Linked DNA regions of Tamandua tetradactyla. The protein of the gene in region 1 purifies or fractionates together with the protein of each later gene. This does not show direct contact. Links are inferred from orthologs where the notes say so. Each region holds a gene or a part of one and is shown on either strand. Other genes may lie near its edges.

Region 1 (7,198 bases):
TCCACCTTTTTTCCTCCTTTAGTCCCTTCCTTGGGGCTCGTAGAGGATCATGAGGTCTAGAGATAAAGTCCAGGAAGAACAGCTATTCAGGCTCTTGAATGAGGCATATTTGGATTTGAATCCTGTTTCTGCCACTTACCATATCTATGTTCTTGTGTAAATCACTTGAATTTGGGTAAGCCTCGTTTTTACTTGTCCATAAAATTATAGTATCTTATAGTTACTGTAAGGACAAAAGGATTAAATAAATTAATACACGTGTCACATGAGTAAATACAAGCTGAGAGCAGTGGCTAGTACCTGGTTAACATTCTGTAAGTGGTAGCTATTGCTGATATGATTATTCAACACATATTTATTAATATGTAATTAATTCAGAATTGGGCGAGCTTTGAGCTGGCTGCTAGGAGCTGGGCTTATGAAAAGGAACATTATACAGCTTAGCTGTATAATATTAGCATATATATTATAGGAACTATATTAGCATAGTTCCTGGAACATACTAATTACTCCGAAATGTTAATTATTAATTTTGTTTACCAGGAAGTAGGTTGATAAATGGATACATTACAGTCCAAGAAGATAAATGGCTTGCTAGATGTGGCAATAACCCGCTGAGGAAGTCCAGCAGAACAAGATTTTAAATTTTCAAGGAAGAATCTAAGAAAGCCCAGAGGAGGTAATGTTGGAATGGGGCCTTGAAGGGTAAGAGTTCTTCGGGAAGGAAACAAGGATGGGGAGGTCTTTCAGGAAGAGGGAATAATACCTGCAAAGGCGTGGAGTTGTAGAAAGTGCTGACATGTTTGGAGGAAGGTAGTAAGCCCAGCGTGGGGGCATAGGGTACGTGGGATAGAGGAGAAGAGACTGGAAAATGGGGGTTAGGCCATACTCAAATGGCTACTACTTAAAAAAAGGAAAATAACAAGCGCTGGCAAGGATGTGGAGAAATAGGAACACTTGTGCATTATGGGTGGGAGTGTGAAATGGTGTTACTGCTGTAGAAAACAGTTTGGCAGTTCTTAAAAAGTTCAACATAAACACCAGGAATTGCTGGCAACCACCAAAAGCGAGGAGAGAGGCATGGAACTGATTTTCTCTCAGAGCCTCCATAAAGAACCAATCTTGCTGACACCTTGATTTTGGCCTTCTGGCCTTCTGAACTGCGAGAGAATAAATTTCTGTTGTCTAAAGCCAAAAAGAAAAAAAAAAGTTAAACAGAGAATGACCACATGACCCAACAATCCCTCTTCTAAGTACGTACCCAAAATAATGGAAAACAAGGAATCAGACAGAGATCTGTTCACTAAGGTTCATAGAAGCTTTATGTACAATAGTCAAAAAGATGGAAGCAACCCAACTGTCCATCCACAGATGGAGGGAGAAACAAAATGTGATATATACATATTACAATGGAGTATTATTCAGCCATAAAAAAGAAATGAGGTGCTGGTACATGCAACAACATGGAGGAACCTTGAAGACATCATGTTGAGTGGTATCCAGACACAAAAGGACAAATATTTTAGGGTCTCCTTTAAATGAAATAATTAGAATATGCAAATTCATAGAGAGAGAAACTAGATTACAGTGTACCGGGGTGGAGGTGGGGGTGAAGAATGAATGTTAATGTTTAATGGGTATGGAGTTTCCGTCTGCGGTGATGGACAAGTTTTAGTATGGGACGGTGGTGATGGTAGCGCAACATTGTGATTTAACACTACTGACATATATCTGAATGTGTGGTTAAAAGAGAAAATGTTATTTTGTATATATATTACCACCACCACAACTTTTTTTTAATGATTTGCCTAATCAAATTAAAAACAGGGGAGGGGACTAGGCGAGACTTTTTAGGATTTTGTGAGTCAAACTAAGAAAGGGAAAGAAGAACAATTGAATTCCTACCATATACCCAGCTCTGTTAGATGCTCAGTATTTCTCATTTTGGTGGGATTTTATCCTATAGGTAATAGGAAACAGATTTTTCAGCAGGTCATAACACAACTGGATATTTATTTATTTATTTATTTATTAGGATAATGTCCTTCATCATCCACCTCAGCCAGGCGAAGGACAAGGTTGGAGTGAGGAGAGAATATTCCGGGGGGCCACAGCACTGTCCCAAGTGACAGAAACCATCTGCTTTAACCAAGGGTGCTTCTGAGTAGGTATGGAGAAAGGCCAGCGGCAGGACTGGAGAGAGGTTTTGTAGGTCAGGTGGATAGTCTGCTCAGGGGCAGATTTTGTGTGTGAGGTGGGGCTGGTGAGGGAAACAAAGCCCTTAGGGAGAAAGGCAGGTTTTGAGTGGCTGGAGCAAAGCTAAGCTATTCAGAGTCCAAAAATGTGGCTGTAAACCCACTGGTTTACTTCTGAGTATCAATCACTGGGATCTTGAGGATGTCAGCTATCTTGGCCTTAGTTTCCTATCAGTGAATAATATGACCTCTCTTATTTGTCAAACATGATTGTTGTGAGAAAGAAAATAGATAACGGGTGTGAAAGGGCTTTGTTAGCAGTAAACCACTAAACAAAGGCACTATGTTATTAGAGAGGGAGTCAACTGCATGGAACAGCAAAGCTAAAGCAGAAGTTAGCTGAGGTAGAAGGTGGGAGATGTCTGTCCTGGTCTGGAGATAAGATAAACAGAGCAATCAACACAAATGCACACACACACACTCACACCATACAGATAAGTACAGAAATTTCTTTACTGGATTGGGTGTACAGGAGAGCAGTGGGAGACTCTCAATCCTGTCACTAATGACCCTATCAGTTGTCCTACAGATGCTTTCACCTGCTATTTGGATATGTCTGAATCTAGAGTATTCTGAGGGGCTTCAGGTAGCCAGGGAACCATGTGAATTTGTGAGTAAAAGCTCTTGCTGTATTTTTCTGGAGTTAGAATCCAGATGCCACTCCGACTCTCTGAAGGGTCTGTGACTCCTACCCCTCAAAGGTTAAGACTCATTCATTTTCTCATCAGAAATTAATGAGAACAGTCATCCTGGGGTAACTGGTGAGGGAAAGGGGAGGAATAAATTTTCATTTTTCACTTTCGACCTTTCTGAATTTTCTAACCAAGAACCTGTATTAGTTTCATTTGAAAACCTATTATTAGGGGTTATCTGGGTGTTAGGATGACTTTTTAGATATCGTCTTTACACCTGTTTGCATTAAACAAACAGAAATACCAATAACTTATTTTTTAAAAGCCCTGATAGTATCAGCCAAATAAAACAAAGAAATCACTCCCTTATGCAAAGTTCATCCTACATCACGTAAAGCAAAATATCTACACTTCCTATTGACTACTGGCTTCAATTCAGTAAAACCTGCATATAAAGTAGATGAGGTGAAGGGAAAAAGCTGGCAAGTTAAGGTATTTCAACTCAGATGCCCCAAAATGTCAAATACTGTGTCAAATACGTGTCAACCTTCATATATATTATCTTCAGCATTCTCGTGTACCCGCCAACGGGCGAGCTGTTGGTGTTTGATTCTTGAAGCGATGGAACGGAGGACAGGGTTAAATTCACTACTGTCTCCCCACGCACTCTAACAATTACTCTATTTCCATGTCATGTTTCCGGGTGTGTGTGTCCCGACTTACACAGAACTTGAGTTCAAAACAGGCAGGAGATACCCATGTTCTTTTTGCTGTCGCCAGAAATCCAATTCAGGAATTGGGAGCCCTGAGGATCTGGCTATACGTGGGGACTGTCTAACTGGCTGATTCCCACATGGTAAAAGGTTCCCAACCTCCTCCCACGTGGCGCCACGGGCCAGGAAAAGAGCGAGCCGGCAGGCGAGAGCCGCATCAGGGGCATTTAAAGTGTCTTGACGTCACACACTGCCAGGAACTCAGCTGAGTTTTCAGCAGGACATTCCGGTCATCTTCCCTCCCTCCCTGCCGGTTTCTGGGCCGAAGGCCTCAGCTCTTCCCGGGCCGTTGCGGAGGGAGGAGCACGACGCCTTCCGGAACAGCCAACGCAGGGGCGTCCCCAGTCCTCTTTTGCCACCGCCCTTCCCCCCAGCGGCTGTTCTCATTGGTCAGTGGGTGTGGCTTCGCGTGCACAGGGCAAGCCGCGGGGCCTCCTGTGGCCCAGAAAGCTGGCCATCTCTTGAATTATGCATAAAGGCGTGTCTAGGCCAGGCTGGGGCTGGGCGGGATTGGCTGGAGGGGCTGTAATTCATCCGTTTCCGGAGCTGCGGCGCAGACCCGGGAGGGGGAGCTTGGGGTTCCGACGTCTCAGTGGAGGCCCTGAACCCGAACCGGATCTTTGACCAGCACCCCCACTCGGCGCGCTCTCTCCGCCGGTGCTAACTGAGGCGCTGCGGCTTGAGGGAGCCCCGTGCCCGCACGCCGGCCCAAGCGCAGCCCTTGCCTGTGGGGCCTCTACCGGGGAGACAGGTGAAGGGGGTGAAGGGTGGGGCAGCCTCTCCGGACGGCCCCCAGGCCTGACGCACCGTGGCGGGCGCCAGAGAGGGTGGAAGCCGCTGGGAGGGTCTTTCAGGGAGGGGGGTGTGAATGGAAACTTCAGTGGGGCGGGGAGATACGAGGGCGCGCTCGATCATTCTGAAGGGACACCTCCCAGGGCCGACAGGAGCGGGCCTCTGAAGGCAGAAGGGGCGCTGGAAGGAAGTTTCGTTCCAAGAGAAAGGGGAGAAGCCGCGGAAAAGTGAGAATGAGTTCGAGGGGTGGACCATGGGGGCGAGGGCCCCCTGGGACGGGGGTGGCAGGCGTGAGGGACAGCTCTCCGACTTCCTGCTCCCTGGGGCTCTGGAGACGTGCGGGCCTCAGGAGCGACTGTCAGGCGGGCGAGATCACTGTAGGGGGGCGCGTGGGAAGAGCCTCCTCCCGCGCGCCGCGGGCAGGGATCCGGCGGCTCCCGGCAGAGCCATTTCTCAGCCTGGCCGGGTTCCTGCTCCTTTAGGAGCCAGCTCTGCTTCTCTGGGGGGAGAAATAGGTGTCTTAATCCTAAAGCCCCACGGGCTGGTTGGTTGTGGGTAGGATTGTTGCATAAGAATCAAGTTTCCTGTAGGGAAATTGACAGACTTGTGCTTTCTAAATTTCCTCACATCTTGTTGTAGTTCAAGGCTTGCTTTCCCCATCCCCCACTCCTTTTCTAAAAACAAAACAAACTAAAGCCCCAGTCAAGCCAGCTCTAGAGAAGAATAAATCTCTTTCCTCCTTGACATTGTTCTTTTATGAATACCTGATAAACACGGTCAGAAGATAAATAATTGAGCCATTTCACTTACTGGATTGTGGTGTTGCTTAATTGCATAGGACAGAATGAACCAATCGAGAGTGGGAGTTTTCTGTCCCAGAGCCAAGATCTTGGGTAAATGCAGAAGAGAGGGAAACAAAGACAGGCTGGCTGGCCTTGGCAAAGTCATGTGTGCAAACTTTACCTGCGTTTGGGGTTGTGCTTCAGTTAGCAAAATTATATCATTCAAGTTGCTTTTTCCTTGCTTAGTATACAGCACTCATATCAAGTGGGTGTCTATATGTCGACACGATCAGTGGTTAGTTGCTTTATTTATTAAAAAATGTATATGGTGTGTGCCTGCTGATCTTTATTGTGTGTGTGTCAATGGTACACTTACTATGTGCCTAGTTTGTAACTTTTTGGCTGGCTGCACTAATAAGCATTGATTTGAATAAATCAAAATAGTAACTTATCTTGATCTTGTATATGTGGGTTTAGATTGCATTAGGACTCGATTCAGCCATATTTCTATTTTTTTTTGTTAAATATGTCTGTGTTCCTTGAGTCAACACGTTTATTTCCTTATTACATGTGCCAGACTGGAGTACTAGCAGAATTTTTGTTCAGACATTTGCACAGTGAGGTGGGGGAAAGAAGTCTGGAATAACGAAGAAAAAATTGCTTTAAATGTCAGAGGGTTAATCTTAGTCTCTATATTTGTTAGCAGACCCACCTCAAAGAACTGTTAGCAAAGTCAGGGATCTTTTGTTTTTAAATATAGTTCTTTTGGGAAGAAGAACCTGTTAGAAATACCCACAGTTATGACTTGACCTACAAAGGGCTTGTGAGGTAGGTAGTTTATATTAATATTTACCCATTTTGGAAATAAGGAAATTGAGGCCAAAGGAAGAAGACACTTGCTCCAAGGGAGCAGAGTGCCATAGTGGTGAAAGTACTATTGCCTGTACATTTTGTGTTCTTACACAGGTAAGTAATGCTTACTTATAAAGCCTTGATTTAGAGAGAGTGTAGGCCTTGCTTGGGAAAAGTGCCAGTGAAATTTTGACATATATCTGAACAGTGAAATACCTCTAGCAGGCTATATGACTTAACGGAAGACAGAGATTGATTCATGAACAGGTGAAAAAAGAAGTACTTAATAGGACTTGCTTAGGTTATTTTTCTGTCTAACTGCTATGTTTAAATTTAGTAGGGATAATTTACGTAAGAATTTCGCTATTTGGCTAATGAAAAGAGGTATTTACTTAGGAAAGTTTGTAAATGAAGGACAATCATGACCTAAATGCCACCTAAACCAGAGTGCTTTGTGTCTTGAGCATTAGTATCTGGTGTCTCCAGGAAGGTATTCTCTTTTTGTTTCCTCCTCAGCCCTTCACATTCAGATGTGAAGATGGGTTAGCGATGGTGACCATCCTTCCAGACATCTCAGCTCATGGTTTCCTAAGAGGTGGTGTACAAATAAGTAAAAAAAAAATTTACTGTTTGTAACTTTGTGAAAGTTGCTGGTGAAGAATAAAATGTATCTTGTTCACAGAACTTTCAGTCTGCTAGGAAAACTTTATAAATGGTTTAACCATCCAGGGTAACGTGTCATAAAAGAAGTGCTAGCAATAATATACCCATTATATATAAGAGAACATTTAGTACAGATGTAGAACATTTCTGTTATCCAGATAGTTCTGCTGGACAGTACTTGACTAAGAGCTATAGGTCTTGAGAAGACAAGTTATGAGTGCTGGAATTGTCAAGGAACTCTTCTTGGTAAAAGGGGTGATAGGAATTGGGTCCCATATAATGGGTGGAATTTTGATGGGTGTAAAGAATTTGGGGTGTGGTGGTATGGGAATATAGCATGAACAAAATCTTGGTAGGTCAGGAATATAAGTAGGGGAGGAAAAGGGCCTATTTATAAAAGTTCTTGAATGCAAGATCAAGGAATGTCGATTCTGTCCTTTTGTGGGGAG
Region 2 (7,774 bases), on another chromosome or scaffold:
TGGTTTTATTTATAAAAATTTTAAAAACTAAAAAAAAAGAAATGATTAGAAGAACAAAAAAAAAAAGCCTGGGCAGAATTTGTTTAGAACAACCAACTGCAAAAAAAAAAAACGTTATGAGACATCTGGGGAAATGTGAACACTGCATATTTGATATTAAGAAATTATTGTTAATTTTTAGTTGTTATGATGATGTGGTTACATATTTTTTAAGCATATCATTTGAAAATACATAAATAAAGTCTTTAAGAATAGAAAGAATGCAACATCTGGAATTCACTTAAAAACAATCTAACCTGAGGGGGTACAGATAAAATAGAATTGGCCACATGCTCATAATTGTAGAAGCTGCATAGTAGAGAAATGGGAAGTCACTGTATAATTCTACTTTTAGAAACATTTGAAATTTTCCCTAATAAAAGCTTAAAAATGAAAATAAATAAAATTGAGTAAAGGCAGCTGTTACAGTTATGATTTTTTCATGGTTGTATACCAGAACAGTAAGGAAGGATCATGGCTTAGCTTTGTTCTCTGCCCTCTTTCCCACAGTACCTAGGCCTGAGTCTTCTACAAGCCCTGACTATGATACAAACTCGATGTAAACTTGGTCAAGTCACCCTCCTTATTTTTTAAAACACTTTGGTGGCTTCCCTCTCCTCTGAGGGTAGAAACTCCGATTCATAACAGGGCTGCTTAAGAAGTTGGGCCCCACCTAACTCTTTAGACTTGATTCAGATCATTCTCTTTATATTATGTACTTGGCCTTTCTCTGTTCCTCAAATGAGTCATACTCAGTCCTACCACAGACCCTTAGCACAGACCCCCACTGCCCACTACATGCTTCCCCTCACCCTCCATCCACCCAACCTTCTTTCACCTTCAACTCTTCCTTCAGATCTCAATTCAGTCATCATTATTCCCTCCAGGAAGCCTCCCCTAACCAGCCTGCCCCCAAATTAGATTATTTTTCCAGCTATATAGTCTCATAGTCTGTCATGTACCTCTCCTTTGTAGGACTTAGCACAACTACAACCTTACATTTATTTGTCGATTATGATTGCCTTCACACTACATTGTACACTCCATGATGGGCTTCCCATCCTTCTCTTTCTCCCCACTTTTTTATTTGATTGTTCATCATTTCATTCTCAGCACTTAGCACAGGGCCCGGCTTACAGTAAATTATCAATAAATATTTGTCAAATAAACAAAGAGAGGATGAACCACTGATAAGCAAGCCCCTTTCATCACCTCCCACTGCTGCCACAAAACCTCACTCAAGTATCCCCCTCCTTCAAGGTGCCTGGCATCCAAAGTCCCAGACCGCCCTCACCAGTCATCGCCCACGTTGAAGGCATTAAGGCTCTTGGTGAAGCCTTGCATATTGGTGGGGCTGACTCTCTGTAGGAAGTCAATGTAGTCCTCAGAGTGGAAGCGGCACATGTCATGCTGGGAAGCCTGGTATGGCTTGAAGACCTTGGGATGGAGACACAAGATGACAGCAGGCGGGGTCAGCCCCATTCATGAACTGAAACCACTCACACTGAGCCAAGCCCTGGGGATTGTCCAAAACCACATATAGCAGTCCTCCCCCCACCCTCTCCGATCTTGATCCCTGTCACTCTATGATGCAAAAGTTCAGTCTGAGATGGAAGAGGCTACAATTAGCCAGGTGGTTTACTACAGTCATGCCCCCTGAAGATCACTGGGCTTGCTTCCTCCTTCCCACCTCTAGCCCAGTCTCGTCTGCCTTCTCAATCTTGAACCCTGATTCCTGTCCTGTTCTGTGGGTCTCCTACTCCTGGGCTCTTCTTCTATCTGCTCTGCCCGCTGGGTTCTTCTTCATTCTGGAATCAAATACTATGGGGTATGAGAACCAAGGGGCTAAACTAGATATTTAGTATCCTTTTGGGGATTCACACATCCTGTTGGAAATTGGGCAAGAACACAGGAGCTTTTCTCTCCCCAGTAAATGCACACATGTACATAAAGCCAAATGACAAATGATTCTAGGGATTTCACAGATACATGCACTGATGTCACCTCAACCTGTTCTATGACCAATCTACTCATCTGTGCCTCCACATAAGTAGTGGACATTAAATCACATTCATTAATTCCCTTCACAATGTATAACGGTTGGGCCTAATGGTTATAATTCCATATTGCAGCTATAAATTCCAAGCTTGGGGGTAGCATGGGTATATGTGGGAGATGAAGGATTGGATAGTGGTGAAGTAGAACCATGTATGGATGTTCTAGGTTGGAAAGGGGACATTCAAGACATCTCCTGAGTCCTACACACACAAATACATTTACATTTATGACTGCTGAATGCTCCTTCCAGAGCTCTAGCTCCTTGGAGATGGAGAGAGAGGCGACAGGTGGAGTGGAACTGAGGATAAACGAGAGTCCAGCCTCTCCCCCATCCCTGAGGCAACAGCACTACCGAAAAATGCAAAATGTCTTCAAACCAGTCCCACCCCACCTACTCCTAGCCAAGGACTGGTTAACTTGAAGAAGTAATTCCCATTAAATCAGAGGAGGCCACCCTTAACACTATGGAGACAGCGAGGGGCTCTTAGTGCTTTCTAATCAGCCCCTCCAGTAGGGGTGCGAGCCGCACTTGGTGCATCCAGTGCAGCCCACCTATGCCTAAGGACACAGCTCGACCCCACCCCGAACCGTGGCTGAGACAGTGGGACTTACGATCATCTTCTTATAGAGACCGTAGTGCAGGACGAGGCTATGGGTCAATGCCAGGCGATGGGGCTTCATAGGGTGCCCAGCACCTGCGGGTGAGAGGAGAGTTTGTCAGCTCCTACCTCTGAAGTTACAGCCCCAGCCTCGAAACCTCCGCGTCCCGAAACCCCTCGCGCACAGCCCTGTTGCCTCACCATAGTGGAAGTTGCCCACGTCGGGGTCGTAGAAATAGGCCACGGTCTTGGCCATGGTGACTACAGCACCAGGGCCCGCGCCTCCACCGCCCGCCGGCCCGCCAGCCCCACCCCTGACCGTGCGTGCTACGTAAACACGCAGCCCGCCTCTGCGGAGAAAATCACAGGCCCCGCCTCCCGAGACCACGCCTATGCCACGCCCCCTGCGGGAATCCCGCCTCTTGGCTCGCTTCAACCATCTGAGCTGTAGAGCTGGAGAATCCGGGCTTGGCCCTGGGACCCTTACGTAGGTCCTAGGATGCGAGGGCCATTTCCTTTCGGGCGGGGTTCAAATCCTCTAGAAGCTGAGCTCATCCCTTCTAGCCGCCTGTCCAAAAGGGGGCGCAGGCCGTGCTCTCCGCGCCCACCGCGCTAGGAAGCCCCGGAGAACCGGCACGCCGCCCCTCTCGGATGCAGAAAGCCTGCTTTCTCCAGCCCGCTGGGGAGATTCCTGGCCATTCTTCTGGTAGAGGCACCGGAGGGCAGGAGCCGCGCCAGGCGTGCGGGATCAACCCGGGGAGCGCAGCCCCGTCGGACCACCTGTCTGGGACTGGGACTCAGACTCGGCGCCGCACACTCCCCCGGGGGCCCGGCGCAGTCACGCGCGCACCACACTTGGGCTCACACGCGCACACAGCTCACGCTCCCCGCCCCGCACACCTGCGCTCCGCCCCTAGGTCCCGGACCGCCGGCGGGTGAAGGCATTTGGGAGACCCCGCGCAGCGGCGCCCTCTCACCCCCGCCCCCACCCCATTGCTCCCCTTCCCAGGGCCGGTGTGCCACGCTCCCAACTAGCCGGCATCCCTCTCCATCCTTCCCTCCCCCCGCCTGCCGCGGTACCGGTATCCGCAGCCGCAGCCCGGAGCCGGTGAGGCGGAGAAGGGGGGAGGGGGAGGAAGCGAGGGATGAGAGCCGGGAGGGCGTCGGGGGCCTTGAGCCGGACTAGGACGCCCCTGGAGCCGGGACCGGAGCCGGAGCCCGAGCCCGAGCCGGAGCCGGAGCCGGAACTGAACCACCGGTACCGGGTGGGCCAGGTGGTCAGGGTGGGAGGAATCTTAAACGGAGATGGGAGGATGGCGGGAGCACAAGCAGGGGAGGGGGAGGCAGAGGCCCGGTCCAGGCCGGCGCAGAGGTGGTGCGGCCACTGACTCCGGCGCTACTTCTCTGCCGCTGCCTGAGAATTGCGTCCCATCTCGCGCTGCAGTGTCCTTGGGAGGGACGGAAGAGCGGGGACAAGATGGAAAAAGAAAAGCTCCGGGCGTCGGGGAAGCGGGACAAGGGTCGGGAAAGAGGGCTTGCGCAGACCCGGCCTGGGCGGGTCTCGGCGAACCCGCGCCCTTGGACAGGTCCCGGGTTGGGTAGGGGGTGGGGCTGGACCTCAGAGGCTTGCCTGTTTGGGATCCTGAAGATGGCATTCCTACCCTCCCCACTCCCCATCCCTAGCTGAGCCCCATCTGCCCCAGAAGGCGCCCTGGCCCGTGCTCAACCCCTAGGGCCTCATGGCGGAACCACAGCCTGACCTGGAGCCGCCCCAGCATGGGCTGTACATGCTCTTCCTGCTTGTGTTGGTCTTCTTCCTCATGGGGCTGGTAGGCTTCATGATCTGCCACGTGCTCAAGAAGAAGGGCTACCGCTGCCGCACCTCCAGGGGCTCAGAGCCAGATGACACCCAGCTCCAACCCCGTGAGTGAGAAGTCAGGATCCCTGGTTCAGTTTCCTTTCTCCCTTACCATCTCCCCACAACGCTTTCTGCCTCCCAGGCCAACATATCCAGGTCCAATCGTCCCCAAGCCTGCAAGAGGCATAGTGGGGCTTCCTTGAGTCTGCAGAACCACCCTCAAGCAAGACCATAGGAGGCAGCGTGGGTGGGAATCTCCCACAGATGAGAACCTTGGGTTCCCATTAACTTCCCCATCTTTCCTGCCCTGACCCCTGAAATACTAAAGTCCAGAATGATGGCAGATAGGTCAGGGGGATGGGGGGTATGATTTGAACCAATAAGCCATGGGGGCCACTAGTTAAATGTCCTCCCAAAGCTGATTCATTTCTCCCTTCTTTGCCAACCCCTTTCATCCTTCAGCTGAGGAGGATGACATGAATGAAGACACAGTAGAGAGGATTGTTCGCTGCATCATCCAAAATGAAGGTGGGCTAACCTGTGTGGCATCCTGAAGACAGCGTTCCTACAACCTCTCCCCACTTACTCTTGCACTGTCCTCTACCTGTGTTGACTCCATCTTTCCCTTCTCCCCTCAGCCAATGCTGAGGCCTTGAAGGAGATGTTGGGGGACAGTGAAGGAGAAGGGACAGTGCAGATGTCCAGGTGAGCTGGGAACATGGGCCATGATGGATTAGCTTGCTTTAGAGAATAACCTCTCCTCCAGCACAATCTCTCAGTCTCTCTGCATGCTGGTTGGGGTGGCGTGGGGTGGGGGGAGATCTAACTCACCCATAGGAAGTTTTGTAGAAATATCAATGCTTCAAACCATTATCTCCCACCTGGATATCATCAAACCTACCATTCATCTCTAGTGCCACTCCTTTGGATTAAGCAAGCCCTCTTTTTAGCAAACAGTCCCGATAGGGAGAGCACATGGTCACTAATATCTTAATATTGATTTTATTAGACAAAGACAACAAAACAAATGTAGTGGCTCAGGGAAAATGGGGCATCTGGGAGTTTAAGGAGCATGCTGAAAGAACAGGAAAACATGGAACAGGAAAGGAGGTGGGAATGTCATCCCTGCTCCCTTCATCCCTACTGTCCAGCGTGGATGCCACCTCCAGCCTACAGGACGGAGCCCCCTCCCACCATCACACAGTGCACCTGGGCTCTGCAGCCCCCTGCATCCACTGCAGCCGCAGCAAGAGGCCCCCACTTGTCCGTCAGGGCCGCTCCAAGGAAGGAAAGAGCCGCCCCCGGCCTGGGGAGACCACTGTGTTCTCTGTAGGCAGGTGGGGATAGAGTGCCCCAGGGAAAGGGAGAGAGGTGGGGGCCCTAAAGATCAGGCATCTCATTCCAAAGGTGGGCCTGGTGGGGTTCCATGCAGGACCCACTAAGGCGCTGGCTCCTTCCTCTTGGGCTGGGAGTTGTAGCAATAATCAGATGGCACAATGTGCCCCCCAGTCTGAGGGGGCCTCCCATGCCTTAGGCTGGAGGGAAGTGGATGTCCCTGGTTGGAGGGGAGGGCCAAGCAGTGTCTGAGTTGTGATCCTAAGCCCCAGTGTTCCCTCCCCTCCCAGGTTCCGGGTGACACACATTGAGAAGCGCTATGGGCTGCATGAGCATCGTGATGGCTCCCCTACAGACAGAAGCTGGGGCTCTGGTGGGGGGCAGGACCCGGTGGGCAGTCAGGGATCTGGGGGAGGGCAGCCCAGGGCAGGGATGCTTGCCAGTGAGAGGCTGCCCCCTGAGGGGCTACAGCCCCAGGCCCTCGCCAGCCCCCGAGTGCAGAATGGAGGACTCAGGGACAGCAGTGTAGTCCCTCGTGCACTTGAGGGGAAATGTGGAGCCTCTGCAGAGTCGGTGCTGGGGGCTGGAGAGAGGGGCCCAGGCCCAGAGCTGCCCAGTCGAGAAGCAAATGGACAGCCCACAAAACCGAACGCCTCAGATCACCAGGTATGAAGATGGCCAAGGCTGTGGAGGGACGTGGTGGGCTGAGATTATTGCTCGCTACTCTGGGGGATGCTGATATGGTCCCTCTCACTTTCTCTCAGGTGTCCCCACCACGGGGAGCAGGCGGTGTATGAGGTAAGTCTTCCTAGACCCTGAAGCAGGGAACCTCATCCTCCCACTCCCTACTCAAGCCTTTCTGCTCCCCAAGCCCCCAGGGTAAACAGCTATGGTTTTAGCTTTTGCTATATATTCCTTGCTTTAGTGGTGGGGAGTGGGCCTGCTTCTAGGGGGTATATTCTAGAACCTGGAAATGAGGGAGGGTCCTACAACCACTTGGGAAAGGCTGGGATAGAGCCTGAATAGGAGGCAACACTGTTACCCTCTTTCTCCTCCAAGCCTCATTCTTCACTGCGCTGCACGGACTACCAGCTGGCAGAGCCAGCGACAGGGGGTGGGCATGAAGTGCCTCCCCTCCACTGGACAGCACTGCCCCCAGCTGAAGGACCAGCCCTACTTCCACCTGGATTTGCACGGTCTCAGGCTGGGGACCTTGGGAGAAGTCCCTCCCACCTCACCTCCCAGTTTCTTTACCTTCCCCTGCCTGCCAACAGGCCATCTGACCCACCTTCCCCAATACCTCTGGCTCCATATGCTCTAGCACTGGCAGATGGGAGCAGACCCCTGCCCTTGGTGGGCCCCTAAAGCAATAGTAACTTAGGCCCCCTGCCCTCTTGGCACAAGAGGTCCCAGCTTGGGCTTCTTGCCCTTTATTCACTGTCAATAAATCCGCTCAGACCATTACAGCTGCTTTTGCCTCCTGGCTCTAGCTCCTTCTGACTCCCAAAGCCTGCCCCTGTCCTGGCCCCAGCCCCAGGTATCCAGGGTGCAGTGGGGCAAAGAGCTGGGATGGAGATGCAGATGGGTCAGAGCCACTCAAGACTTTGGAGAGGTGGGTTCCAGCCCCAGAGCTTTCAGGATGGGGTAGAGGGGATTCCAGCCCTAGAGATGGGGTAGTGGTGGAAGAGGAAGGGGCAGCTATCTATAGAGATGGCAGAAGGAGAATGGGTTCCAGCCCCAGAAATGGGTGAGAAGAAAAGTTTCTATCCCTGGGATGAGAGTAGAAATGGGGGTAGATTCCAGCTTTTGGCTGTGTTGTTCAGGATCATTGAGGGAGTGGTCTCTGACAGCGTGGGGTTGACAGCAGCATCACTGGGGGGCAGTG

Evidence for each region. The genes of interacting proteins can lie anywhere in the genome.
Region 2: the proteins of STAT3 (region 1) and HDAC3 purify together in Homo sapiens (affinity purification with western blotting; 4 studies listed by BioGRID). This does not show direct contact. The link is inferred for Tamandua tetradactyla from reciprocal best matches to the Homo sapiens genes STAT3 and HDAC3.

Annotation. Positions count from the first base shown.
Region 1 is NC_135332.1:24,835,125-24,842,322, forward strand, and holds the start of STAT3 (signal transducer and activator of transcription 3), read left to right. Parts: upstream 1-4,195; 5' UTR 4,196-4,411; intron 4,412-4,527; exon of another isoform or gene 4,528-4,679; intron 4,680-7,198. UniProt on the Homo sapiens protein: Signal transducer and transcription activator that mediates cellular responses to interleukins, KITLG/SCF, LEP and other growth factors. Once activated, recruits coactivators, such as NCOA1 or MED1, to the promoter region of the target gene.
Region 2 is NC_135346.1:21,769,371-21,777,144, forward strand, and holds the start of HDAC3 (histone deacetylase 3), read right to left. Parts: upstream 3,012-7,774; 5' UTR 2,953-3,011; coding exon 2,898-2,952; intron 2,793-2,897; coding exon 2,710-2,792; intron 1,477-2,709; coding exon 1,334-1,476; intron 1-1,333. Other genes in the region: RELL2 (RELT-like protein 2), read left to right, coding at 4,436-4,619, 5,017-5,082, 5,193-5,259, 5,706-5,891, 6,180-6,555, 6,654-6,686; FCHSD1 (F-BAR and double SH3 domains protein 1), read right to left, coding at 7,715-7,774. UniProt on the Homo sapiens protein: Histone deacetylase that catalyzes the deacetylation of lysine residues on the N-terminal part of the core histones (H2A, H2B, H3 and H4), and some other non-histone substrates.